7 linked regions of the Ovis aries genome follow. The protein of the gene in region 3 binds, or shares a complex with, the protein of the main gene of each other region. Links are inferred from orthologs where the notes say so. Each region holds a gene or a part of one and is shown on either strand. Other genes may lie near its edges. The genes, in order: CTNNBL1, RBM48, PLRG1, BCAS2, SF3B2, SNRPB and EFTUD2.

The links.
Region 1: PLRG1 (region 3) and CTNNBL1 share a complex: the UniProt entries of both Homo sapiens proteins name them as parts of the PRP19-CDC5L splicing complex. The link is inferred for Ovis aries from reciprocal best matches to the Homo sapiens genes PLRG1 and CTNNBL1.
Region 2: PLRG1 (region 3) and RBM48 share a complex: the UniProt entries of both Homo sapiens proteins name them as parts of the minor spliceosome. The link is inferred for Ovis aries from reciprocal best matches to the Homo sapiens genes PLRG1 and RBM48.
Region 4: PLRG1 (region 3) and BCAS2 share a complex: the UniProt entries of both Homo sapiens proteins name them as parts of the PRP19-CDC5L splicing complex. The link is inferred for Ovis aries from reciprocal best matches to the Homo sapiens genes PLRG1 and BCAS2.
Region 5: PLRG1 (region 3) and SF3B2 share a complex: the UniProt entries of both Homo sapiens proteins name them as parts of the minor spliceosome. The link is inferred for Ovis aries from reciprocal best matches to the Homo sapiens genes PLRG1 and SF3B2.
Region 6: PLRG1 (region 3) and SNRPB share a complex: the UniProt entries of both Homo sapiens proteins name them as parts of the minor spliceosome. The link is inferred for Ovis aries from reciprocal best matches to the Homo sapiens genes PLRG1 and SNRPB.
Region 7: PLRG1 (region 3) and EFTUD2 share a complex: the UniProt entries of both Homo sapiens proteins name them as parts of the minor spliceosome. The link is inferred for Ovis aries from reciprocal best matches to the Homo sapiens genes PLRG1 and EFTUD2.

The regions. Positions count from the first base shown.
Region 1 is NC_056066.1:66,596,401-66,600,348, forward strand, and holds the start of CTNNBL1 (beta-catenin-like protein 1), read left to right. Parts: upstream 1-1,148; 5' UTR 1,149-1,236; coding exon 1,237-1,266; intron 1,267-3,948. UniProt on the Homo sapiens protein: Component of the PRP19-CDC5L complex that forms an integral part of the spliceosome and is required for activating pre-mRNA splicing.
Region 2 is NC_056057.1:10,627,001-10,630,294, forward strand, and holds part of RBM48 (RNA-binding protein 48), read left to right. Parts: intron 1-767; coding exon 768-1,471; 3' UTR 1,472-2,919; coding exon of another isoform or gene 2,920-3,006; 3' UTR 3,007-3,294. UniProt on the Homo sapiens protein: As a component of the minor spliceosome, involved in the splicing of U12-type introns in pre-mRNAs.
Region 3 is NC_056070.1:3,068,723-3,072,857, reverse strand, and holds the start of PLRG1 (pleiotropic regulator 1), read right to left. Parts: upstream 2,801-4,135; 5' UTR 2,703-2,800; coding exon 2,694-2,702; intron 663-2,693; exon of another isoform or gene 661-662; coding exon 554-660; intron 269-553; exon of another isoform or gene 197-268; intron 1-196. UniProt on the Homo sapiens protein: Involved in pre-mRNA splicing as component of the spliceosome. Component of the PRP19-CDC5L complex that forms an integral part of the spliceosome and is required for activating pre-mRNA splicing.
Region 4 is NC_056054.1:91,947,463-91,951,268, forward strand, and holds the end of BCAS2 (pre-mRNA-splicing factor SPF27), read right to left. Parts: intron 2,537-3,806; coding exon 2,486-2,536; intron 1,973-2,485; coding exon 1,892-1,972; intron 811-1,891; coding exon 684-810; 3' UTR 501-683; downstream 1-500. UniProt on the Homo sapiens protein: Required for pre-mRNA splicing as component of the activated spliceosome. Component of the PRP19-CDC5L complex that forms an integral part of the spliceosome and is required for activating pre-mRNA splicing.
Region 5 is NC_056074.1:40,572,011-40,575,955, forward strand, and holds the start of SF3B2 (splicing factor 3B subunit 2), read left to right. Parts: upstream 1-1,145; 5' UTR 1,146-1,170; coding exon 1,171-1,303; intron 1,304-1,471; coding exon 1,472-1,521; intron 1,522-1,810; coding exon 1,811-1,888; intron 1,889-2,986; coding exon 2,987-3,235; intron 3,236-3,448; coding exon 3,449-3,499; intron 3,500-3,945. UniProt on the Homo sapiens protein: Component of the 17S U2 SnRNP complex of the spliceosome, a large ribonucleoprotein complex that removes introns from transcribed pre-mRNAs.
Region 6 is NC_056066.1:52,396,632-52,399,692, forward strand, and holds part of SNRPB (small nuclear ribonucleoprotein-associated proteins B and B'), read left to right. Parts: intron 1-1,634; coding exon 1,635-1,746; intron 1,747-3,061. UniProt on the Homo sapiens protein: Plays a role in pre-mRNA splicing as a core component of the spliceosomal U1, U2, U4 and U5 small nuclear ribonucleoproteins (snRNPs), the building blocks of the spliceosome.
Region 7 is NC_056064.1:44,320,467-44,323,966, reverse strand, and holds part of EFTUD2 (116 kDa U5 small nuclear ribonucleoprotein component), read left to right. Parts: intron 1-517; coding exon 518-684; intron 685-2,416; coding exon 2,417-2,541; intron 2,542-3,500. UniProt on the Homo sapiens protein: Required for pre-mRNA splicing as component of the spliceosome, including pre-catalytic, catalytic and post-catalytic spliceosomal complexes. Component of the U5 snRNP and the U4/U6-U5 tri-snRNP complex, a building block of the spliceosome.

The sequences.
Region 1 (3,948 bases), on a different chromosome or scaffold from region 3:
TGCCTCTGCCATGTGAAGATACAGTAAGAAGGGACTTCTGTGAATCATGAAGCAGGCCCTCACCAGACGAAGAAACTGCTAGTGCCTTGATCTAGGACTTCTCAGCCCCCGGAGTTGTGGGAAATAAATTTCTGTTGTTTATAAGCCAGTCAGTGTATTTTTTTTTTCATAGCAGCTTGAAAGGACTAAAACAGACAGCATGAACATGAAAAACACCAGACTAATCGCCAAGGGAACTAGTAGAGAGGCTTAGCTCTCTTTGAAGACAGAAACATTTAAATCCCAGGAGCTCAGATGCACTCTTTGAATAGTTCTTTTCCAATGATGGGCAACTTTCACCTACAGAAAACCTATTTACACGACTTGAGTAGAAACAGGATTATCCAGTTCCACTGGCCTTTGCATAGATGAATAAACAGAAGCCCAGAGAAGGAAATGTCATCACCAACTGTTTCACAGGTACTAACAATTGTCTTGGACACTACACTTTCTGAGCCAGTGCTGTCCAACACAAATGGAGTGGAAGCTACAAAGAGAGCCACACGAGTACTTTACATTTTCTACTAATCACATTTTAAAAAGTAAATAGAAATGGTGAAGTAAACAGCAAAGTGAAATTAAATTTTATATTTTATTTGACCCTAAGTATAACTTCAACATGTAATCAACACAAGTCTTAGAAATCAGATGGGTATTTTCTTTACACTTAAAGCATATTTTAATTCAGACTAGCCATAGTTCAAGCCCTCAGTAAACACAGGTGGTTAGTAGGTATAGTACTGGAGAGCGCAGTTCAATGCCTCAGTTTTCTATTGGAACTGAGAATAAAACGAGGAATAAAACTGCCTAGGTCACTGAATGGATTAAGAGAGGACAAGGGAAACACCGTGCGTCCTGCCCTGCACTCCGCCCAGCACGTAGGGGGCGCGCAATAAATCTTGGTTTCTTTACTCTTTTCCTTTAACGCACCGCCCCCTTCAAGTCTCCGCCCCTTTCCCCGCCCCCTTCAGGTTCCGGGCGGAAGTAGTGCTGTTAAAAGCAGGGCGCTTTGCAGTATCGCTGCATTTTACTGCAGTGTGGCCGGCTTGCGTGTCGCGCGCACTTTTGCTTCATTGGCTCTGCGGCCCCTGCTCCAGGCGCTTTACGGCAGTGTGGCTGGAGCTGCCGCTTTGGGGGCCGCGGTTTGGTCGTGAGTGGAGGGAATCCGAGTAGCCAGTGTTGACTGAGACTGCAACCATGGACGTTGGGGAACTTCTGAGCTACCAGGTATGACGGTCGAGGAGGGCTGGGGGGACCGTCCTCTCACCCAGGCAGGAATCGCAGGACCAGAGTTCCTTCATATCACTCTCTCCCATCTCTTCCCTGGGCCTGGGTCCTCTCATTTCTCTTGTCAACCAGGTCCCTTCCTCGAATTTCTCCTGGGTTCTTTCAATTAATTACGATCCTCAAGGCCCGGACCTCTTTTTAACTTCGTCTGGGCCTCTTCTCACCCAACCCTGAGACTTGACTCCCTTTCACTTTTCTGAAGGCCCCAGACTATCTTCACAACCATTCCCCTTTAATTCTCTGCTTCAAGTCACTGAGTTGAGGATCGTGGTGGGAGAGCACTTTCTTGCATTTGAGTATCAGCTTCTCTACTGATCGGCTCTGTGGCTTTGGGACAAGTTCTATTGTCTTCTTGGAGCCTCAACTTCTGTATGTATAAAACAGAGACAGTAATAGCTACCTATTAGGCTAGTTTGAGGACTGTGTTAATCAATGAATGTGAAAGCTAATTTTAAAGTGCAGAAAGTTGGACACATGTTAATTGCAGTTGTTGGCAGATGTTTGACTTTCTCACATGTGCTGGATCCCTAGGACTCTTGTCCCATTTGCTCAGAATACATGTGGGGAAACTGACCCAGAGCGTAAAAAAGACTTTTCCAAAGTCACTCAGTAAGAGCTTTGATTAGAGATGAGGTCTTTCGGCTCCCAGCTCAACCATTTTACCTTTCTTTGGTCTTCTTAAATGTCCAGTATGGTAGCCACTAGCCACATACAGCTGTTGAACACTTGAAATGGGACTAGTCTGAATTGTGTTAAATTACACTTTCTGCCATAAGGGTGGTGTCATCTGCATATCTGAGGTTATTGATATTTCTCCTGGCAATCTTGATTCCAGCTTGTGCTTCTTCCAGCCCAGCGTTTCTCATGATGTACTCTGCATAGAAGTTAAATAAGCAGGGTGACAATATACAGCCTTGATGTACTCCTTTTCCTATTTGGAACCAGTCTGTTGTTCCATGTCCAGTTCTAACTTTTGCTTCCTGACCTGCATATAGGTTTCTGAAGAGGCAGGTCAGGTGGTCTGTATTCCCATCTCTTTCAGAATTTTCCACAGTTTATTGTGCTGGGAGAAATATCAATAACCTCAGACATGCAGATGATAACCACCCTTATGGCAGAAAGTGAAGAGGAACTAAAAAGCCTCTTGATGAAAGTGAAAGAGGAGAGTGGAAAAGTTGGCTTAAAGCTCAACATTCAGAAAACTAAGATCATGGCATCTGGTCCCATCACTTCATGGCAAATAGATGGGGAAACAGTGTCAGACTTTATTTTTGGGGGGGCTCCAAAATCACTGCAGATGGTGACTGCAGCCATGAAATTAAAAGACGCTTACTCCTTGGAAGGAAAGTTATGACTAACATTGATAGCATATTAAAAAGCAGAGACATTACTTTGCCAACAAAGGTCTGTCTAGTCAAGTCTATGGTTTTTCCAGTGGTCATGTATGGATGTGAGAGTTGGACTGTGAAGAAAGCTGAGTGCTGAAAAATTGATGCTTTTGAACTGTGGTGTTGGAGAAGACTCTTGAGAGTCCCTTGGACTGCAAGGAGATCCGACCAGTCCATTCTAAAGGAGATCAGTCCTGGTTGTTCATTGGAAGGACTGATGTTGAAGCTGAAACTCCAGTACTTTGGCCACCTGATGTGAAGAGTTGACTCATTTGAAAAGACCCTGATGCTGGGAAAGATTGAAGGCAGGAGGAGAAGGGGATGACAGAGGATGAGATGGTTGGGTGGCATCACCAACTCGATGGACATGAGTTTGGGTAAACTCCAGGAGTTGGTGATGAACAGGGAGGCCTGGCATGCAGCAATTCATGGGGTCACAAAGAGTCGGACATGACTGAGTGACTGAACTGAACTGAACTGAACTGACTGACGCTTAGAATAATCAGTATAAAAAAGTAAAATTTTAATATTGATTACATGATCATATTAATTACTTTGATTATTGATCATACTGATTAAATAATCATATATGGGTAATGGGCAAAATAAAATATATTCAAAATAAAATTTACCTATTTCTGTTGACTTTAAAATGTTGCTACTGGCCTTTTAGTGTGGCTACTAAAATTACATATATAGCTGGCTTCTCATTTTCCTTGGACAGCTCTGCAGTAGAGAATAGGGGACTAAGAGCCATGTGTCTGGAGCTCTGTTGCTTGGCCTCTCTTGTTTTGCTGCTCCCTGACTGCTGTGACCTGGAACAAAATATTTAACTTCTCTCTGCCTTGGTTTCCTTATCTTGTAAGTGAGGGCAATGAAAGTACCTATCATATAAGGCTGTTGTGAAATGTGAAGTGTTTGGAGCAACGCTTGTCAAAGAATAAACGTTAAGAATGTTAGCAATTATATTCATGCAATTCCCTCAGCCAATATATTGTACCTAGAATTGACCTTGGAGACTCTGGACATCATGGGAAAGAACTTGTAAGCAATGGGAAGTATGTAGCCAAGTGCCAAGTGATTTCCTTTTTAAGACAGTTATTTGGTGTGAAAGAAGAACGGAGATAGGTGGGTTGAATGAGTGGTTATATCTCTGGTGGCTCAGACGGTAAAGAATCTGCCTGCAATGCCGGAGAACTGGGTTCAATCCCTGGGTCGGGAAGATCCTCTAGAG
Region 2 (3,294 bases), on a different chromosome or scaffold from region 3:
CAAATTCCCAGTGCACAGAATGGAGTCACAGAATCTAGTTCATGGATTGTAGAACGAGAGGAGTCAGCACTGGACTATGATAGTGTGTGTGGTCTGAAATCTGAATAATTCTAGCGGCTCAAATTACCAGATTTTCACCCTTTGGTTAAAAAGACAAAGACAGTGTCTAAAAAGCCATTGACTATAATGAGTTTCTGACTGATTGGGTAAGGGGCACCTGGCAGTGTGAAGCGAGAAGTGGAAAACTTACCCGAAATTTTGGCAAGAGCTGTTGGGAGTCTTTGGTCATTCATAGGCCCTGAACTGTAATCTGGGTAAATGTGTAAATAACTGGTTCCAGGAAAACCTGTATGTGTGGCGAAAGAAATGATAAGATATGGACCCAGCATATTGTTTTCTTTAAAAACCACAAACACAAACTAAGCATAATACGTTCAAATAGTAAAAGTACTCTGAAGATATAAAGTTTTCTGTGTAATAACATGGAAAAACTCCCCAAGATGTAGAGTTAACTGGAAAGCAGATACAGAAAAGTGGGTATTATAGGAGAACTAGAGGGCTGAGTGGGAGGGGAAGAAGACTGGACAGATGACCTTTTTAGCTTTTAACCCATGTAAATACAGTACTTGTTCAAGAAGAAATTTTTTAGGGTAGCATTCATTAACATCTTAATGTTTCTTTTTAAAATTACTTGTTTCTATGTGATGAAAAGAGTAAATGAACCATTTCTGTTTCCCTTTCCCTGCCTTTTCAATTGTAACATACAGACCATTACATGACAAAGAAGCATAAAGATGCCAAAGATTTTAGAGGGGACTTCCATTCAAAGACATCTGGATTTCCTGCAGCCTCTCTGAACACATCTACTGGGAACTCAGATCTTTGTCTTCCTTATTCTCCTGAGTTGCCGTTGTGTTATTTCTCCCCAAAGTGTAAATGTTCATCAGGAGAATATGTAGACAGACCATCAAACTCCTCCCAGGATGGTAGAAACTCTGATGACACACTGGGGCACTGTGACCACTGTGACTCTCTGCAGAAAATGCAGATGAAAACTTTACAAAAGTCATTGGCCCGCCACGGCGCACAGAAGGCTCTCGCTCCTTCAGAGGCAGTTGACAGGTTTATGCCTAGGACAACACAACTGCAGGAGCGGAAAAGACGACGAGAAGATGACTGCAAACGTGAAACCCTTCTTGAAGCAGGCACAAGTAGTAACGAGGTTATGATTGGCCCCCAGTTACCAGACATTCCTAAAGTGGACATGCATGATGACTCCTTGAATACAACAGCGAATTTAATTCGGAATAAACTCAAAGAGGTAAGATCGTTTAAAAAAGAAACTTGTAAGAGACAGTTTGGTTATAAGGACTACCAGCTAAGTGGAGAATTATTTGTAGGAACTTCAGTATTGTCATTCTCTTTTTTTCCATTTTTAATTTTTAGATGTTTTCCTACAATTATATGTTGAAGTAACTGAAGTTGACTTACAGATATGTATTTGTTTTGATACCTTTAATCCTTTCTTTAAATATGTTTTATGTTACTCTAGGTAGAAAATATAAAAGCAGTAGTTTCAGTCAGATTAGTCTATGAGAATGGAGCCCAGGCCCTCCCTTTTTAAACAAAACTATCCCTCTTCAGATAGTTCTAATATGAGCCAATGTGGAGAACTACTGCACTGAGGGGAAATTATTATAATTTATTTCTCAAGTTCACAATTACAAATTTAAAAATTCAAATGCTTATTTTGCTTCTTTGATAATCATAGAAGAAGGTGAGATTTCTAAAGATTAGGCCTGAAGGTCTGCATTTTAATTCTAACTTCGTAAGACCTATTGATAGATGGTCCTCCTTAAGTAGTAGTTTTTTAATGTCATTTACATTATCATTTTCCATTTTCTAAGCACAAATAAAAGTTAACATTTGAGATAGCTTTTGAAAGATACCTGACTATGGGGCAAGCCTTTAGAAATCATTATCCGAAGGAGAAAGACCGTTCTCTTGTACTTGAACTCAGGTTCAGAAAGTGTTTTTCACATAGTGGTACATATATTTCACAAATGTGATTAAGAAAGGCTAAGGTAGATTATTTTATGTACCTTTTCTTAACATCAAAGTTAAATCCAGTTAAGGACAAGGAATTATTTTATACTAATAAAAACTGAGGGACGCAGTTTTTCTGCTTAAGCTTTTTTTTAATGCTTAAACTTCTAGAGCCTTGTTTTCGCTTGTGCTGGTGCCCAGCCTGCAGGTGCAGATAGACACAGACACACACATAGTTGTCTTAGCCAGAGTCGACTGTGTTTTCAAGAAAAAAGTTAGGTCCAAATCCTAGATTTAGAAAGTGTAGAAGAAAAAATACTAAATACAGTTATGTCAGATTCTAGTAATTTTCCATTTTAAGTGAAGACTGTTGTGTGTGCTTTAACTTACATTGTCTACTTTGTTCTGATGTATTTGGTTTCATTTTTCCCTGAGAAATTGAGGATTCTAGCATTTTTGTTTATTTCTCTACATTTTTCTTCCACCATCCTAGCTAGAGCCTCCTTGTCTCTGAATATATCAAACATTATCCGTGTTTCAAGTTACACAAAACCAGGGTATCTCTCTGTATTCATAAAATTAAAAGTGACTTAATAAAATAACAGATCTATAAAGGAATGTTAAAGTAGAGCATACATTTACTTTTCTCCCCTGAAAATTTTTCTTGGCTTTAAAAATCTCACTCCCATCGGTGTTTGGACAGAAGACTGCTCTGTGTCTGGATTGCAGGCTGCACCTTGAACGTGGACTGCCTGCCTTAAAGGTGGTGATGGCGAGGCTTAAACTCCCGGGTGTCCATCTTCCCTCTTCTAACAGTGTATTACTCTCCTGCTATAGAAGTTAAACTGTTGGTGGTTCTCTTTTTAAAACTAGGTAATTTCATCTGTGCCCAAGCCTCCAGAGGACAAAGTGGAAGATGTGCATAGAAGTCGTCCTTTAAAACAAAGGAGGAGGATATAAATCGCCTGCAGTAAATTAATATTTTTAAAGGACTATTTTTTATTTTTCGGCTGTCATTTGGATTCTTGAAGAGATTTTACTGCTGGTATTTTTTTTTTAATGCACTGTTATTCTTTGTAGTTTCATTCAAGCTACTTGTCTAATTTAGTTTCATCTTTTAAAATTATTTTATTGTGAACAAAGAACATGCCAGCCAATTATGTCCCTTTTAAAAAAATAAAACTTTCCCAGAGCCTACACTCCGTGACTTTGGTTACACCTTTTTGGCTGGAATTGGGCCCACTGCTC
Region 3 (4,135 bases):
AATGCAAGTACTATGCTACTTTTAAGGACAGCCCACTTTGTTAATTAATTATAAATGCTTGTTTGAGGAATTAGGTAGATTTTAAAAGAAGGGTAAAGGACAAAGAAGGAACACTGCACATAATGCAATCTCAGACTGGAGCTGGAGATGTAGAACCAAAAATATGCCACCACTCAAGAATCTTCATCATACTAACGAGAAAAGATGGGAGTAGAGGTACTGGCCAGGTACAATTTCAGCTCAGCAAGGCTCTGAGAGCAGCAGGAAGCTGAAAGCACATACAAAGTGATTGATTATAAAATATAACACCTAAAAGGGACTCTCCTAATTACTGGGTATTTGTAAAATGCAATTAATTAATAGGAATTTTTCTGTAAAAAGCCAAAAAGAAAAGTTAAATCAGCTTAAATTATGCCAAAACATCATTCATTACTAATAGATCTCCTAAGAGTTAGTATGACTCACTAATTTTTAAAGGTTCCCCTCTCCCTGCTCTCTTCCCCCATTATTAAAAGTTGAAACATTCTAGCAATTGAAAGGGAACTATCCCTACCTCTCTTCATCCAAAGGCACAGGTTTTCCATTATCAGCCACAAACATGTCATGGGTTCTCTTCAATGACCTGAACACAAGCGTGTGTACAGAATGCTTCTGCACCTCCTAAAAAGAAAGAGTGTAATTACATACCTAGCTACAAATTACATACATCATAATCTAAACTGAAGCAAATTAATTATAAACTTTACACCTTTAAATATGTAAAACTTTGTACCACTCACCACAGCTATTTATAACAAGCTATAGGAGACAAGTTCAGAGAAGAGGAGGAAGCTTCTCTTGGGCCACAGCCCCAAGTATACCAACTGAATGATGCCTGAAATCAGTCATATGTTCAATAAACAATGAGTTCCCATTAAATGAGTGCCAGGTACTGTGCTAGAAACTAACAAAGGAATAATGAAAAGGCAGCCACCTCCCTGTGCTCAAGAGGAAACAGATAAAAATAGGGTAAGCAATTTTAATAATTGCTATGAAGGAAACAAGCAGGGGACTGAGACAGAACAGAGCAAGACCTTAGGCTGGTTATGGAAGATCTCTCTGAGGTGGCAGCTAAGCAGAGAAGGAATCAGTCTTGCACAAAATAGAGGTAAGAACAATCCAGGCAGGACTTCTCCGGTGGTACAGCAGATCAGAATCTGTCTGCCAGTGCGGGGACACAGGTTCCATTCCTGGTCGGGGAAGAATCCACAGGCCACAGAACAACTAAAGTCCCTGCGCCACAACTACAGGAGCCCATGCGCCTCGAGTCTGTGCTCGGCAAAGAGAAGCTACCGCGATGAGAATGTCCCGCACCGCAATGAAGAGTAGCCCCTCCTTCCTTGCAACTGCAGAAAGCCCAAGAGCAGGAACGAAGACCCAGCGAAACTGAAAAAAATCAATCAATCAAAAAAAAAAAAAAAAAATCGAGACAAGGAGAAAAAGCCATATACAAAAGCGTTCTGTAACTGAAATACTGCCAGGAGCTGTAGTACATAATGTACAGTACAGAAGCCGTAGAACATAGTATATGTTAGGCGAAAAGGAGGGCTCATGATGGAAGATGAGGTTGTAAGGACAGACCAGGTCCCAGTAAGTTGTTTTTTATACCACTGCAGCAGTGTGCATTTTTGCTCTAGTTTTACATAGGGCCACTAAAGTCTCATGCAAGAAAAGCTGGATCAACTTAGGTTTTAAACAGATCAATTTGGTGCGGAAGGGAGAGGGATGACAAACGCGGAAGCAAAAAGACCGACCACCTAAAAGCAAATGCATCAGCTGGTGGAAGATGATGCGGTCTGAATTCAGGTGAGGACAGTGGGCCTAGACAAAGAGCCCAGAATTCTGAGATGAGATGAACAGAGCTTGCTAACAGAATGATAGTTAGGGGGAAATGCAAAAATTCAAGAATGGCAGGTTTTCCCGGAAAAGAGCTTAAATAGGAGACAAAGTGAGATGAGAGGAGACCACCAGTGAGGACATAGAGTCACTGACTACCGAGCAGACGGCGAGTACCTGTGGTCAAACATCGATGTTCAATAAATGCCCCGCCTCCGTGACGAACTCCGTACCCAAGGACCGCGTGAAAACTGGAGTAATTGCCTCAGGCTTCCCGCCTGGAAGGCCTTCCCTCACAGCTCAGTTGGTAAAACAAACAAACAAACAAACAAAAAACCCGCCTGCAATGCAGGAGACCCCGGCTCGATTCCTGAGTCGGGAAGATCTGCTGGAGAAGGGAAAGGCTACCCACTCCTACCCACGCCAGTATTCCCTGGGCTTCCCTTTGGCTCAGCTGGTACAGAATCCACCCGCAATGCGGGAGACCTGGGTTCGATCCCTGGGTTGGGAAGATCCTCTTGGAGAAGGGAAAGGCTACCCACTTCAGCATTCTGGCCTGGAGAATTCCATGGACTGTATAGTCCATGGGGTCGCAAAGAGTCGGACACGACTGAGCGACTTTCGCTTCACTTCACAACTCTGGTTTCTCTTCCTCCAGAAAACCTTACGAGACCACCCGGTCTCGGCCAAACAGCCTCCCTTCGCAGCCACTACTCTCTCCAGTTCCCACACTCCCAAACCCTCGATCGCCCACGCCCGCGGCCAAAGAAAAACAATCCAGAAGCAGACGGCCCCTGAGCACCCAAGTGTCACTTTACCTCGACCATGGCTCCGCCGTCTATACAGGCGCTCCAGCAGGGAAGAAGCACTACTCAACAGACAGGACAGAAACCGCCGCCACGACTGCTCAGCCCCTTCCGGAATTGCGCTTCCTGGCCCGGATGTGACGCAGGGCCCCGCGCAGGCGCACGAGGCGCTCGCAGGCCTTCCGAGGTGAAGCAACGGGCTCTTCCCCGGCCGCCTCTGGGGAGGAGCTTCTGGACGGCAAAGCGGAAGATGCTGGAGTCGCGTGAGGGCGTGTTTCACTTGCTCTTGCAGAAATCTTGAGATAGTAACGTTTTCTGCTCACAGAAACGTTTTCTTACTCACAGCCTTAAATACTTTGGTTTACGGTTGTGGTTGCTTGCCCTTTGTTCTCTGGAATGGTAAAACGATTTCTTCAGACAAACCAACAGTTCTAGGGAACTTCCGGAGAGCGCGGGAAGGCTCTTACACGCTCTTGCCTTCTTTGAGGGGGCGCCTCCGTGATATACGTGGCCAGATTGCGCTATTTCACTCAGTTCGGCTGAAAGCCTTTAGACGTCTTTGTATTCTTGGCGCCCAGAAACAATTCCACTTATGCTGTCCATTAAGCACTTGTTGGAACAGTTTCAATTTGAGAAATTTTGCAAAAGATTTTGGTTTTAATAGCATGTGGCAACATCTCAAATTTATTTTCCATAGTTGTTTTTTTTTTTAAGTCTCTCAGAATTCTTGGCCATTTCCTTTATTTTCCACTAATACAGGTTTTTAAAAATTTTAATCTCTCAAAACTCTTGGCATAACTCTTGTTTGCTAGTTGTCCAGTGATAAATGTGGCTTCAACAATGCCAGAGTACAGTTGGCCAAAGTTGGTAGAAAAAAACCACAACTGAAGACAAGGCATTTTTATGTATTAATATATACAGACTGGTGCCAAAAGATGGGCATTTTGTTTTATACCCAGGTAGACTGCAGTTTGTGATTGTTGTACCTATATTACTAGGTAAGAAGAAAAATTGATGGAACTGGATATTTGCAAATTTGAATAGGCGAACGTTTTACTGGCTCTCCTGTTCTTTAACCATAGTCACTTTCTGCAGATCTTTTCACCAGAGCACCCCGCTTTAACAGGGAGAAAAATCTATCAAAGTATAGCAATGTGAGTTGTTCATCTCATTTAGAAATTAATTTTTAATTAATTATAAACGTTAAGATCATACATGTATTTGAAAATACAGTCATCTCTGAGTTTGAGTGTAAGTTTGGCTTTAAGGGCATTTCCCTGGTGGGTCACACGGTAAAAGAATCTGCCTGTGATAAAGGAGATTTGGGTCAATCCATGAGTCAGGAAGATCCCCTGGAGAAGGGAATGGCTACACACTCCAGTATTCTTGGCTGGAGAATTGCATGGACAGAAGAGTCTGGCCAGCTACATATAGTCCATGCGGTCGCAAAGAAT
Region 4 (3,806 bases), on a different chromosome or scaffold from region 3:
CAAAACCTTGATGACACTTTCTGGCTAAAAAAGCTTCAGCAAATTACTTCATCAGAACCTGTCAGTTTGTATATGAGAATATGTAATTCCATAGGCTTTTGTGAGGATCCATTTTTTTTAACTCATGTAAGTTTAGCTCATCTACCTAAAGTGCTTAGACAGTGCTCAGCATATACTAAGCTTAATGTAACTGCTGCTTACAGTGATGATGATCACAGGTAACATATATAGAGCCACTCTATTTCTTTAGTCTTGTTTGGTAATCAAAAATTTGTTTAGAACTACCTCTTTATTTGAAATACTTATATTAATAAACCAAAATTTCCAACTTCTTGTACATGTTGAAAACTTTCAGTAAGGATCTCTTGGGTACAAAATATGGTCACAGTGACTCAAAATTAATTTTAAGAACAAAATATTATTCTAATGCCATACTAATCTTGGAAATCTAAAGTTCTCTTTTTTTTAATAGCAAAAACACAAAGCAAAACAAACCACCATCATGTTTAAGTTTTTTATTTTGCTAAAATGTACAAATAGAATACAACTACCACATTTTATGGTTTCTAAACATATAACCACTGATGGTTTCCAAAAGATGCTGATGTTCCTCATAGTTAAGATGCCTGATCTTCTGTGAAAGCCCAGCGTACCTTCCTCTCTACCCACCGAGCCAGTCTATTTCAGAAGTCTTGCCGTATGTTTTCTTTGTTTGCCTCTCCGTGTTGCTGCTTCATTTGAAAGAGCTCATTTTCTAATTGTACAATAGTCCTTTCAATCTCATAATTCTTACTGACCAGGGATACCCAGCTAGAAAAGAAAACACAGGGGAAAATTACCTAAAGCGAAATTTCTCTTACAAGATGTTTATAGTATACACATAACTATACACATTTATAGTACACACATTTTTAACCAGTATATGTATTTTTAACCATAATACTAACCTTCACTTTTAGCTTTACATTTTCAAAAGCTGAGGCACAATTAGGGAGGAAAGTGAGTAAAGGGTATGTATATAGGACCTCTGCACTACTTCTTAAATTGCATGTGAACCTACAATTATCTCAAAATAAAAAGTGTAAAAAAAGAACAAATCAGAAAGAGCTGAAGAGATATGAAAGAGTGATTGAAGTTAGTATTTAATTGGGTTAGAAAAGGATAGAAAATAGGGCAAAGGCAATAGTTAAAAATGATGAAGAAATTTCTACAGCTGCTAAGATACAATTCCACAGATTCAAAGAACCTTTCCCTTCTACCAGAAAAAAATCTCCAGGACAAATGAAACAAACACACATGTACATGCAGATTATATCAGTTTGAAGCACAGTGTGGAAAGATGCAATAATAGACTGATCACATGGGGTACTCAGAGGATGAGGGGAAGGTAGAATAAGGACAGTGGTGTGGGTGATGGAGGCAGGGAGATCAGGGAAACAGCAAGTCAAAAAAGACAAGACATGATTAAAAAAATGACTATATTCAGAGATTTGTACAAAATTTATTTGCATATATGAAGAACAACATTAAGAAAACAAAATATATAAACAAAGGGAAAAACTCCTGAGACACACACAAATGATCAAGAAAGTAAGGAATTCCCCTCCTTTAAGAGTTTAAAAATAGACTCAGAACAGAAGTAGTGGATGGAAAACAGGGGGCTCTAAAATCAGAATAAATTAGCAGTGGTTCAGTTTTGTGTTTGTAACTCTAACATTCTTTCAAGCCCATACTTCAGAAACAGGCAGAAGCAGTCAAGACTGGGATTCCGGAAAAGCATTTCTTTGATACTTGTGGCACTCTATTTGAATACTGTTTTAATCATATTGTTGAATCTTGATCTTAACATGTGCCAAACAATTTAAAAGGTGATGGAATTACAGATACTCACGTTGACTCCATTTCTCTTAATTTAGATCCAGCTGTGAGTTGCATGTTCTTTCGTTGCCAGTTTAAGTCTTGAATATGTTTCCTGTTAAAAAAAAGAGTTTATACAACCCACCTACATTCTAACGTAAGACTAAAATCAACAGAAAAGTCTGTAATTAATATCTTTAATTGCTTAAGAATGGATAGTCCCTCCTTCCTGCTTTTCCTTCTGATAACTTTTGCTCAGTTTTTGGTGAGTATTCTTTCAGATACTTTCCTGTATGTGTATATGCACACAGAGATTAGGGTGTGTGTGTGTTTTTAATTTAATATAAATCATATTATACATATTATTTTACTACTTTTCCTTCTAAAAGTATCATTTCAATAATTGCAAACTTGCAAACTGCAAATGACCCCAGAGAGATGTTTTCAGATCTCAGGTCTATTTCTTTTCAACTCAGGTAGGGCAAACCCAACACTAAACAGTGGACAGAGTGGATCATCAATTATTTACTCTTATATGACCACAGTCCAGTGGTTCCTTTTCCTTCTTATTGTATTTACTAAGGATTCACCTAAACTTCATTCTAAAATAGAAATACAAACAATTTACCTTAACTTCTGAAGCTCCTTCTGTGCGTGCTCAATCATATGAACTAGATTTCTAAAAAAGAAAATCAGATTAATGTACATTAAAATCAAATAGTGCTAACTAAAAGTATACTGTCTCGTTGACACAAGGCCAAGTTGTTCTGCTAAAAATAAGCCAGTATTTTTTGAGCTCCCTGTGCCAAACATCATGTTAGACACTCTACAATACTAACTTAATTCTCACAAGAGTTCTTTGAGGTAGACATCATTATCCCCATTTCACAGGTTAGGACACTATACTCAGATTAAGTAACTTGGTCAAGGTAACACACATGATTAAGCCTCAGAGGTGAATTCAGGTCTTACAAAACTCTTGAACCCAAGTTGTTTACTGATAATTCTGATTTCGTGTACTTATGTCAAGTCTTAAACTGTTATTTTCTTTACATGGAGAAGATGAGGGAGTATCTGATGAGTATACTTGTTTCATCATTCATGCGTGTACCTCCTTTTATCTCTGTTTCTTCACCTACATTCAGTGTGTCCCTCTCTCCTCCTGTCTACTGCTAACTAGAGAGAAGAAAAGAACTGTTGTGGAAGGCTGCAGATTCAGATTCAGTCCAAATCAGCTCGAACCAGCAGAGGGGAGACGTTGAGTTAGACAGAGTTCCCTGCAATTATCATTAGAGAAATGACTCAAGGGTAGAGTTCAATCTCTCTCTTTTCCTCAACTACAGCTTTACTAAGATACAACTCACATACCCTGTCAATTTCTCTTAAGGCAGTAGAGTCCATTTCAACCATACTGGCTCTGCTAAGCTCTTGCTCTAGATTCAGTATTATTTCCCGGCTTTTGTGGCTCAAATTTCCTGCTTTCCTTCTGAGTTAATTCTCCTATCTCTACCAATTGATTTTCAGAAACTAACTCTAATTCTATAGAAATTTGGTCTTCAAACAGTGGTGCCTCTCCAGGCTTACTTTCAGCTCATCCCACTTTGACAATTATTCCACCCTGGAGACAATAAAGCTTAGTACTGTATTCCTGACCTCCAACCATTAATAGGGAACTTTCCTTTGAATCACCTCTTTCTGGAAGGCCGGCTTATCTGTTGTTTTCTCCCTTCTTTTAGCTTCCCTCTTAAACACACAGGTCCCTCCTCAAGTATTCTGAATGCTGACACTGACCACACCGTACCATGGGAATCAGAAGACCTGACATCTAGTCTCAGCTCTGCCCTAAATAGCTATGCTTCCTGGGATGGGCCATTAGATATCAAGAGGGCTAAGTCTGTTTATTTGTAAAATCAGGGGCTGACCTTGAAGGTTTCCCTTCAGTTTCAAGT
Region 5 (3,945 bases), on a different chromosome or scaffold from region 3:
AGGACAGGGAGAAGCAGAAGGGGGCAAGCAAGGGCCACCTGCCCATCCCTCCCTCAGGGGCACAGGCCGCTGGTGGGGTAGGAGAGCACCAGACAGGGTCTGCTGCGCCAGTAAGCTGGTGGGGATGAGGGAAGAAAAGGTCCTGAGTTTATTTTCTTTCTTTTTCGGCCTTGCGGTGCGGCTTGTGGGATCTTAGTTACCTGACCGCGGATGGAACCCGGGTTTCCCCAGGGAAAGCACTGAGTTCGACCCACTGGACCACCAGGGAATTCCCCTGCGTTTATTTTCAAGACTAAAAAAGGATCCAAATCTTGTCGCTTAAGACTGCTTTTTTTTTTTTTTTTTCCCCCTTTCAGTAATAATTCATTGAGCACTTCTAACGCCAGGTACTGTGAGACCGTAAAAACTCATGTCTTGGGAGTTGTAAGTGCAGAAAAGGGCAAGAAAGATTTCAAAACAAATGGTAGAGGTTTGGCCGCTCCAGAGCAGGAAAGGCGGGAGACAGTTTAACGTAGATGACATTTGAGACGGCCAGGAAGGTGGAAAAAGGGGCTTTAGTGTGGCCCTTCCCCCAGGTCGGCAGCTGGATCTCAGCCCGGAGGGCCGGCTTCGTTCCCGTCTCCGATCTCCTTTCAGCCCATTCATCCATGCCTGGGCCGGGGATGGGCGGGCAGACAATCAGACACTGTTTTATCACAGGCATCGGCGGCAAACTCCCGCTTGGCGCCCACAGCGCGCGACCGCCGGGGGAACGAGTCCCTGGAGAACGTGAGCGTCCAGGCCTCTCAAGTCCAACCAGGGAGTAGCGCCGCAAGGCGGGAGGTCTGCGCTGAGGCCAGTGAGATGCAGAAAGCACGCCCTTCGGGCAGGACCTGCTTTCCCCACAGCCCCGCCCCGGCTCTGGCCTCCAGAGTTCCCCGCGTCGCGGCCGGCCGCGATCCTCCCGGATTTGAATCCGCAGAGATCGTGACCTGTGCACTACAACTCCCAGAAGGCTTCGCGACCAGGCGGCCTAAGGAGCATTGGAGAACGGTAGGGGGTGGGCCCTGATGGGAACTGCCTGGCAACCCTCGAGCGGACGTGGCGTATCGCCCTACCGGAAGTTCCGGGAAGTGGGTCCGGAGGCTGGTCCGAGCTTCCGGGTTGGTCGCGCGCCTTCCTGCGGCTAAGATGGCGGCCGAGCATCCGGAGCCTCCTAAGGGAGAGTTGCAGCTGCCGCCGCCGCCGCCTCCTGGACACTATGGTGCCTGGGCTGCCCAGGAGCTTCAGGCCAAATTAGCAGAGATCGGAGCTCCCATCCAGGGTGAGGAGCATGGGAAGTCAAGGGCAGGAAAGTGCAGGCCTGCGGGGAAGCGGAGCTGGTTACCCCGGAGACCCGGGGGCGGGGGTTAGAGGCTGGCCGCGGTGGCCTGACTTGGGCAGGCTGGCCTGCTCGACCTGACCTACCCCGTTGATCCTGTGCTTTGCTTAGCAGGGAGTCGCGAGGAGCTTGTGGAGCGATTGCAGGCTTACACTCGCCAAGTAAGTGTTGGTGGCGGGACATGAGGATAGGCCGAGCGTTTGCAGGAGGCATTAATGACCCGTTACAACTCGGTCTTCGTTGTTTACGAATCTCGGTACAGCAAGTGGGGTCTTGGCTGCTTCGTATCTGCTGTGTTATAATTGCTTTTGTATATATCGTTTCTTCCCAGAGCCCATTCCGAGCTCTGGCAGACAGTCACTGGGTAAATTTTGTTGAATAGACGAGAGCGAACGCTGTTTCATGCACCAGCTCCTTTTAGACTGCCCTAGATTCTTTTCACTTTCACAGACTGGCATCGTCCTGAATCGTCCCGTTCTGAGAGGTGAAGATGGGGACAAAGCTGCTCCTCCTCCTATGTCAGCACAGGTAAGAAGACTGTCTCACTTGATAAGATTCTTTTCTACTCAGAGTAGCTCCTCCTCTGAGCGTACAGGGGGATACACGTAGCCCACTGGGCAGGGAGGTACACTGATGAAAGAACTGGGAACTCTTCAGTTCTTCCTTCGTCCAGATTCTTACTTCCTTTCTCAGTGTCAGTTCCTCCAAATTTCATGTGTCATTTAAGATTCAGCTTAAATATCTGGAAACCTGACATAATCCTTCCCCAGCTGGAAGTAATCACTCTCTTCTCTGCCCTCCCTGTGCAGAGTTCCCATGTTATTCAATGAGAAATTAGGGCTTACTCTCTGATTTAATTTCATACCTTCTATATTTAATCAGTCATTGGGGCACACTGGGTCTTATTTATTTAAATACTCTCAATTTCCATGTCTTTTCTGATCCAGGATTTGATAGTTTTTCTGTAGAGCAGTGGCCCTGACTTGGGGTCCAGGGACTTCTATGTGTGGCATAAGAAGGTTTTTATTTTTTGAGGGGTTGAGGAGTTTTTCAGAAGGCCTTTAGAGGTGTCCGTGAGTCTCCTGAAATTGTATGTGAAGTCTGTGTTCATGATGTTCTTCTGGGACAGAGTTGACAGCTTTCATCAGTTGGTGGCACAAAGTTAAAATGCTCTTCTTTCGATACTGCCGTAGAGTATTCTTTCTTTTTTCCTTTATGTCTTTGGCTGCTCTGGGTCTTCATTGCTGTGTGCAGGCCCTTTCCAGTTGAAGCGAGCACAGGACTACTGTCTAGTTGTGTTGTGCGGCCATCCCATCGCAGTGGCCTCTGGTTGCGGAGCACGGGCTCCAGGGTATACGGGTTTCAGCAGCTGCAGCACACGCGGCACATGGGCTTAGTTGCCCCGCAGCACGTGGAATCTTCCTAGAGCAGGGCTCGAACCCATGTGCCTTGCGTTGAGCGGATTCTTAAACATTGGACCTTCAGGGAAGCCCTGCATTTTCTTGAATGCAAGAATTGTGCATCATTTGACTTTGAATCCCAGTGCCAGCCTTATATTAGTTCCCCAGCAAATGCCTGCCATTACATAAATGCTTCATAGTTAATGGCCTTTTTTTCCCCCCACAGCTCTCGGGGATTCCCATGCCGCCCCCACCCATGGGTCTCCCTCCTCTACAACCCCCTCCACCACCCCCACCACCCCCACCTGGCCTTGGCCTTGGCTTTCCTATGGCAGTTGGACCCCGCCCGCCAAACTTGGGGCCTCCTCCTCCTCTCCGGGTGGGTGAGCCCGTGGCGCTGTCTGAGGAAGAGCGGCTGAAGCTGGCGCAGCAGCAGGCGGCATTGCTGATGCAGCAGGAGGAGCGTGCCAAGCAGGTAGGGCAGGTGGCAGCCTGAGCCTGGGTCTCACCAGGGTCCTGAAAAGGGAGTAGGGCCTCCAGGGGAGCCGGATCCTGGGGCCAAGGCTTCTGGGAAGGTCTGGACCCAAGTCTTCAGGGCCTCGGCTGGAAGAGCAGACCAGGAAGCAGAGCTGTGGTAGACTGGCCGGTGGGGTGTGGGTACTGGAATGAGCTCGTTTTCTTTCTTAAGCAGGGAGATCATTCACTGAAGGAACATGAGCTTTTGGAGCAGCAGAAGCGGGTAATGCCTCCCTCTTCCTAACCTTTGACCTCCATGGTCTAATCCATCGTCTGTCACTTCTAGTGCTTACTGTCTAAAATTAGCCGTGCCATTCAGGTTTCCCATGGAGATTACCTCATCCTCATCTAAATTCCATTATCTCCCAAATAATTCTTTCTTTCACATAGCCAAGGAATTGGTAATCTGTGGACTATAGCCTGTTTTTGTATGGCCTGTGATGTAAGGATGGTTTTTATATATTTGAAGGGTTGTTTCGGGGAGATGGGGGAAAGGAATTTACAACAGTCTACAAACAACCCAGAAAGCCTAAAATATTTACTGACTGGCCCATTACAGAAGAAATTTCCTGACCCCTACTGGGCTTTCCCAATGGCTCAGTGGGTAAAGAGTCTGCCTGCAGGAGACAGGAGATGTGGGTTTAATCCCTGGGTTGGGAAGATCCCCTG
Region 6 (3,061 bases), on a different chromosome or scaffold from region 3:
TTAGGTGGTGACTAGCTGGCTGGTTCCTCTCAGTTTGCTCTCCTGTTTTACAGGGCAGATTAAAATGGAGAGTTTCTTAAATCTCTTTCCTTAGTCTTGCTCTTTACTTCTAGCAGAGTACAAGTTGTAAGTAGGGCTGCCAGGCTTTTTATTTCTCTGATTTTGTGTGCCCGGGGGTACTGGGGTAAAGGGCTCTCATGTTCTCCCCACAGGTGTGTAAGGGGGGAGAGCTTGATTTTCTGGCCTCATTGCCTATTTGTAAAGCTGTAGCCTAAAGGGCTCTCACAGTGCAGCCTGGTCTGAAACTGCTTTAAGAAGCCTCTGACCCTCTTCAGGGTAAGTGCTCAACTCCCCTTGTGGGTTTGGGGCCAGTGATTTTTGTTGTCATTTACAGAAACAATTGGAGAATACAGTCCCATAATTTGTTAGATAATTCCCTTGTCTTAGGACTCACCGATCTTAAGCTTCTAGCCTGGTAAAAGATGTGGTCTAGTGTTTTATACAGTAAAGGCATCTTGAGGCCCAAAGAAGTTACGTAATTTCCTTGACCATCCAGCTCTCTTTTGCCACTGGAGTGTCCATAGTGTGTTACCAGTGGCTGTCAGTTCCTTTTAATTCTCTTTGGGACTTTTGTTTTCTTTGTGGCATGAGGTCAAGAAGTATAAGACAGAAAATGGTAGTGATGGCTGAGTGCCCGGTGTACATTAGAGAGTGGCCAACATTTTTAAATGAGACTAACTTTATTCTGGTAATGAAAATGTGCCCATTAGAAAATATTTTGTAAAAGTACATAGAAGTATATGAGAAAAAACTTAAGAGACCCAGAAAGGATTTTTTTTTTAAATTGTGAAAGGGCAGTACATGCTTTTTTTAAAAAAAATAAGAACTATAGATAAGTTTTAAAAAAGAGGAAAAAATGACCACCTATAGAAAATTTATATAAAATATCATTAAAATGAAAACTTTAAGTAATTTTTAAAAATCAAGATATTTTGTATTTCCTTTAACTTTAGGATATTGGCTTTGACTTTCCTTTCCCTGTCTTGTTGCAATTACTTTTTCCCAGTCTATCTCGTTTATATTTTGCTCATCCTTTTCTACTTGTGGATATTTGGAGATTTGTTTTTGTTCTTTGAGGATAGAAGTGTAATTTCTATGTAGCTAATCTCTTAACCTTTTCCTTTATGGCTTCTATTTCTAATATGAGGTGAGAGACAGAGTTATAGTTCTGTGGGGCTGAATTAATACTAGAAGGATACTGCATGTAAGTAGAGTGAATGGGATTCAGTTGACTTGAGGAATTGTTCCGACTGCCTTCCTGACATTGTTAAGGCCTTAAACTGAAGGAAGAAAAAGGGTAATGGCAACAAAGAGTTGACTGAGGGAAGGCTTTCACAGTGGCTTTGTGAGTGAGCCAGGGCTGGGCTTTCTTGAATCTTGTCCTGTCTCTTGGTCTGTGCATTCTCTTGGCATGGGAGACAACCATCAAATGGGGGGAGGTTACAAGTTTAGCCTGTCAGTAGATTTAGTGTAAAAAAAGTCTCGGAGGGCCCCTAGGTAGGTGAACATGAACTTTACCCTTTTTCTAATGCTGTTTTGCTTTGTTTTGTTTCTTCTCCTAAACCTGTCTTTAGACCAAAGAACTCAAAGCAAGCAGAGAGAGAAGAGAAGCGAGTCCTCGGTCTTGTACTACTTCGAGGGGAGAACCTGGTCTCAATGACAGTAGAGGGACCACCTCCAAAAGATGTAAGTCAGAACTGAGAGCCAGTGCAAGGCCAGGAACCTTGTGCAAGGGAGGTGCCACCCTGACCTGGGCCCTGTGTGGGGTTCTCTGTTTCATTGCAGTTCTCATAGGTATCTTCTGGTTTCTGTTTCCCTTATACAGATAATAAACCAGAATCTTAAAGAGGTTCCTTTGCAAGTCAGAAGTAAGGAACTAGGATTTGAGGGTTTGTAACTTTAAAGCCCTCTTTTCCTTAGTTGATGTACCTAGTCAATAGAAGAGGCACCTAAGGCCTCCTGGATCAGTTCTTAATGTGATGACAGTCTAGTTGGACCATAAAAAATTGTAACTCCAAACAATAGAATGCATGTATATTTTTTGTATAGTTATAGAATAATAGTTAATATTTAATTAAGCATCTGCTATTTGCCACGCCCTTCAGTATTTAATTCATGTAACAGTCTTTTGAGATAGATTATTCCCGCTTTATAGATAATGCCAATTGAAATTTAGTAACCTGCACAAGGTGGCACAGCTGGAAAGTGGTGAAACTGTCATTTGATTCCAAGCAGTATTGGTTCATTAACATCAGCCTCCCTTTAGAAATAGGAGAGGCTTTAGAGAATCTAACCAAATTTGTTTCCCCTTTTTCGTTTTAAGATAATGTTTGTTAAAGGAATAATCTTGTTACCTTGTGTTAATTTTTGTCCACATATATATATGTTGGGTTTTTTTAAACTTGTAATAGGTGTGTATCATTCTGCTTTTTAACTTAACATTGTAAACATTTTTCCAGTTGCTGTATTCAAAAGTCATGTTAATGACTTAAAGATACTTTCAAGTGAGTGCAGAGTAGTTTATCCTAGTTATTTCCTTTTGTTTAGACTCTTATATGCAAAGGATGTTACCATGTTTCTGATTCAAGGCCTAGGTACCTATTCATAGCTTTGGTATCTATTTCCAGTAGAATTTGCTACTCTAATGTAGCCGATTGTAAGCCTTCAGGACCACAACCAGTTTTGTTAAAACCTCTTCATTGGTAGATGAAGAAGCAGTACTAGAATGGTGGGATTACTTGCCCACTATCCCCACTATTACCCACCAAGTGAGAATCAGAGCTGGGACTGGACCTCATATCTCTTTGTCGGGTCAAAACACTAATCTAACATAGATACCCTTTGGGGTGGAGGCTTGGCTGTTTATTTGATTTTCATAGGAATGCATATTGGTTGAGTTGTACCTGTTTCTCTTGACTTAAAACCCTTAAGTTCTTTTAGCCTGCTGGGCATATAATCTTGGATGGAGGAAGAGTGGTGTTAACAGGAATGGATAGTGTTT
Region 7 (3,500 bases), on a different chromosome or scaffold from region 3:
ATAAATAAATAAATAACATTAATGTAGTAAAAGAAAAAATCAATGTATCTTAATACCCACAATTCTTTTTTGTTTGTTTTGTTTGAACCTCGAGGCTTGTAGGATCTTAGTTCTTAATTCCCGGACCAGTGATTGAACCTGGGCCCACTAAGTGAAAGCACCGAGTCCCAACCACTGAACCATCAGGGAATTTCCCTGATACCCACAATTCTGTTTCCGCACCACAGCTTCCTAAGCCTTTCTCGGTTCCTTCTCTGGCACTGAGAAACTTGGCTCCCCAAAATCATCAGTGGATTTATTCATTTCTCAACCCTACCAGGTCACCTCTTAAAATTTCCGACTCTGCTGTAGAATAAGATACCCTCTGCTTCCCCCTCATAATCTGTTTCCTCTCTTCCACATCCTTCATATTTTATTTTTATTTTTATTTTTTTCATATTTTAAACTAGAACTTTCTTTGACTCTGTGCGGGCCTGTTCTGCCCTCTTTGCACTCATCCCCAGCTTCTGTGTCTCAGGTGATGCTGAACACAGAGCGGCTGATCAAGCACGCGGTGCAGGAGAGGCTGGCAGTCACCGTGTGCATCAACAAGATTGACCGGCTGATCCTGGAGCTGAAGCTGCCACCCACGGATGCTTACTATAAGCTGCGTCACATTGTCGATGAGGTCAACGGGTTAATAAGGTAGAGGAGCCCCCGAAGTAAACCTCCTGTCCCCGGCACTCTGGTTTTTATAAATCTTAACCTTGAACACCTCTGGGGGCAACTCTGAGCTCTTGGCATGCATTGATGAGCTTGTTGGACACAGCTGGAGGAACATTCTGTGACTCTACAGGGACTGACTCCCTAGCCTTGGCCTCATTAACTCTGCTCCTTAACCAGATAGGCAACTGGCTGCAGATCCTCAGTTTATTACTGCAGTCACTTCCCTGAGCTCTAGAGTCAGTCTCATCTTCACCAGCCAACCATGTAAAGTTGGAAAGGTTCCTTAACCTCTTAGAGCCTCAGTTTCTGCTTCCATAAAAAAAGAATAATAGTATTTGCCTAATGAGATGTTACAAGAAATTAAGTAGATAGCCGATATAACATACTTAGCACAGTGCTCAGTGATAATAGCTTATGGGTGAATAATGTCAGCTGCTGTTATCTTATTAGCACAGACTCAGTAAGAGAAGGAACTCTTGGCTTTTGTTTCTTACGGAGCTGCTTTTCAACAAGATGGATTTGGGGTTTAGGTTAATAAGTATGAATGATGGTTGGGAGACCTTGGAATCATGGTGGCTTTGAAGAATAGGTTAAATATTTCTTAAGGACAGTTTAACCTATAGTGGAAAGATGTACGGATAACTTCTTGAGGCCGCCTGCAGGGCTTGGGAGGAGCCTGTCCAGCTGAGAAAACTCCTCTCCACCCGAGGATCCAGGACAGACCCCTCGTGGCCCGGGACAAGTTCACCTTTAGGAACACCCCCAGTTTGCAGTGCTGGTTCTCAACAGGGGTATCTTCTCCCTGACACTGGAGAGGCTAAGAATGACCGGAGCCCAGTGTTACAGCCAGAATCCAAAAGATGAAATGATCTACTTCTCTGAAGACAGGGCAGGGGTCGTGTAGGGCTGAATCGTGATCTACTAGAATAGGAAGTTAGGAAGTCAAGAAGTCACATCTCAAGCGCCAGACAAGAAATATCACCATAAATATATTGTTTAGAAATATGGAGGTAAATGCTCTAGAAGCAGCTTTTAAAGAAGTTGAAAACACTTGCCTCTGGGGAGCATAACTTGGGAGTGTGGTAGGGGAGTGCTCTTTAGAAGCCTGTACTTGTATTTCTAGATTAAGAAATTCCATAAAGCAGTGTGTCAGGAAGGCTTGGGTTGATTCCTATGTGCTCTGGTTTTCTTATAAATGCTAGTGAACTTGGGGGTACTGTGGCTTCTGTATGACTTTTAAGACTAAATGTTTTAACGTGAGTTTGTAAAGCAAAGCCAGACAAGACCATATGAGAATGGGGAGCAAAGTTGCTTTTTTTTCATTCATTCATTCATTTACTTATACTGGTATTTCTGTTTGTGAAATTGAGATTTCTCGAATGTACTCCTGTTTTATCAAAGTAGTTTCATTTCCTGTGTTCTGAGGTGTTTGTCCTCCAAGTTTCTCTTTGTCTGGTGCAGTTAACTTCTCCAGGATCATGCAGTGTGTTTCCAGCTCTGGAAAATCATCTTGTTACTGGGAGTTAGGGAACAGCTCCATCATGTCACTTTCTTGGAGCTGGCTGTTGGCGAAGCTGTGTGTGTTATGCAAACCCTTTCTGCGTGCAGCCACTGGAGAAAGGCTATGATACCGAGTGCTGCCCTTCACCCTTCGCCTCGGGCCCACATGCAGCCCAGCCCAGCCACACACTCAGGGTCATCTCTCTTCCAGCATGTACTCCACGGACGAGAACCTGATCCTTTCCCCGCTCCTGGGCAACGTCTGCTTCTCCAGCTCCCAGTACAGCATCTGCTTCACGCTGGGCTCCTTTGCCAAGATCTATGCTGACACCTTCGGTAAGCTCTGGCTGGCAGTCTGTCTCACCAGCTTCCCCAGAGTCCTGTGTGCGTTTCCTGCTGAACAGTTCAGGAATGGGCTGCACGCCAGAGTCTCTGCCAGAGAGAGCACTGTATCAACTGTTACCAAGTCACATTTGGGGCTCTTTTTGGCCCCGAGACTCTTCTGATCAGGCTCTGCTGCTGCTGCTAAGTCACTTCAGTCATGTCCGACTCTGTGTGACCCCATAGATGGCAGCCCACCAGGCTCCCCCGTCCCTGGGATTCTCCAGGCAAGAACAATGAAGTAGGGTGTCATTTCCTTCTCCAATGCATGAAAGTGAAAAGTGAAAGTGAAGTCAGTCAGTCGTGTCCGACCCTCAGTGACCCCGTGGACTGCAGCCTTTTAGGCTTCTCTGTCCATGGGATTTTCCCGGCAGGAGTACTGGAGTGGGTTGCCATTGCCTTCTCCCTAATCAGGCTCAGTGGTCTCCAAACAGTAGAAGGATGAAGGTGCCTGGGAAGAAATGGGTGAAGAGGGGGCTCATACCAGGAACAAGAATCTCAAGTGAGACAGGTTTTGTCAAGAAGGAATTATCCATGCTCCCAAAGCCTTGCAGGCCTTTTCCTCAAAGATGGAATCTCTCTCACCAGTGGTGCTTCAAGCTGTCTTTCCAACGGTATCCAGACACATAAGGGGCTTCGTTGGTGACTGAGTAAAGAATATGCCAGCAATGCAGGAGACTCGAGTTCAGTCCCTAGGTCGGGAAGATTCCCCTGGAGATGGAAATGGCAACCCACTCCAGTATTCTTGCCTGGGAAATCCCATGGACAAAGAAGCCAGGTGGGCTGCAGTCTTTGGGGTTGCAGGAGTCAGACGTGACTTAGCGACTGAGCCACCAGCACCACCAGGCACGTAGATGTTTCATAGGCCTACTTGAGAACTCAGGTTGGATTCGCAGCCCACTGGGACACGCAGC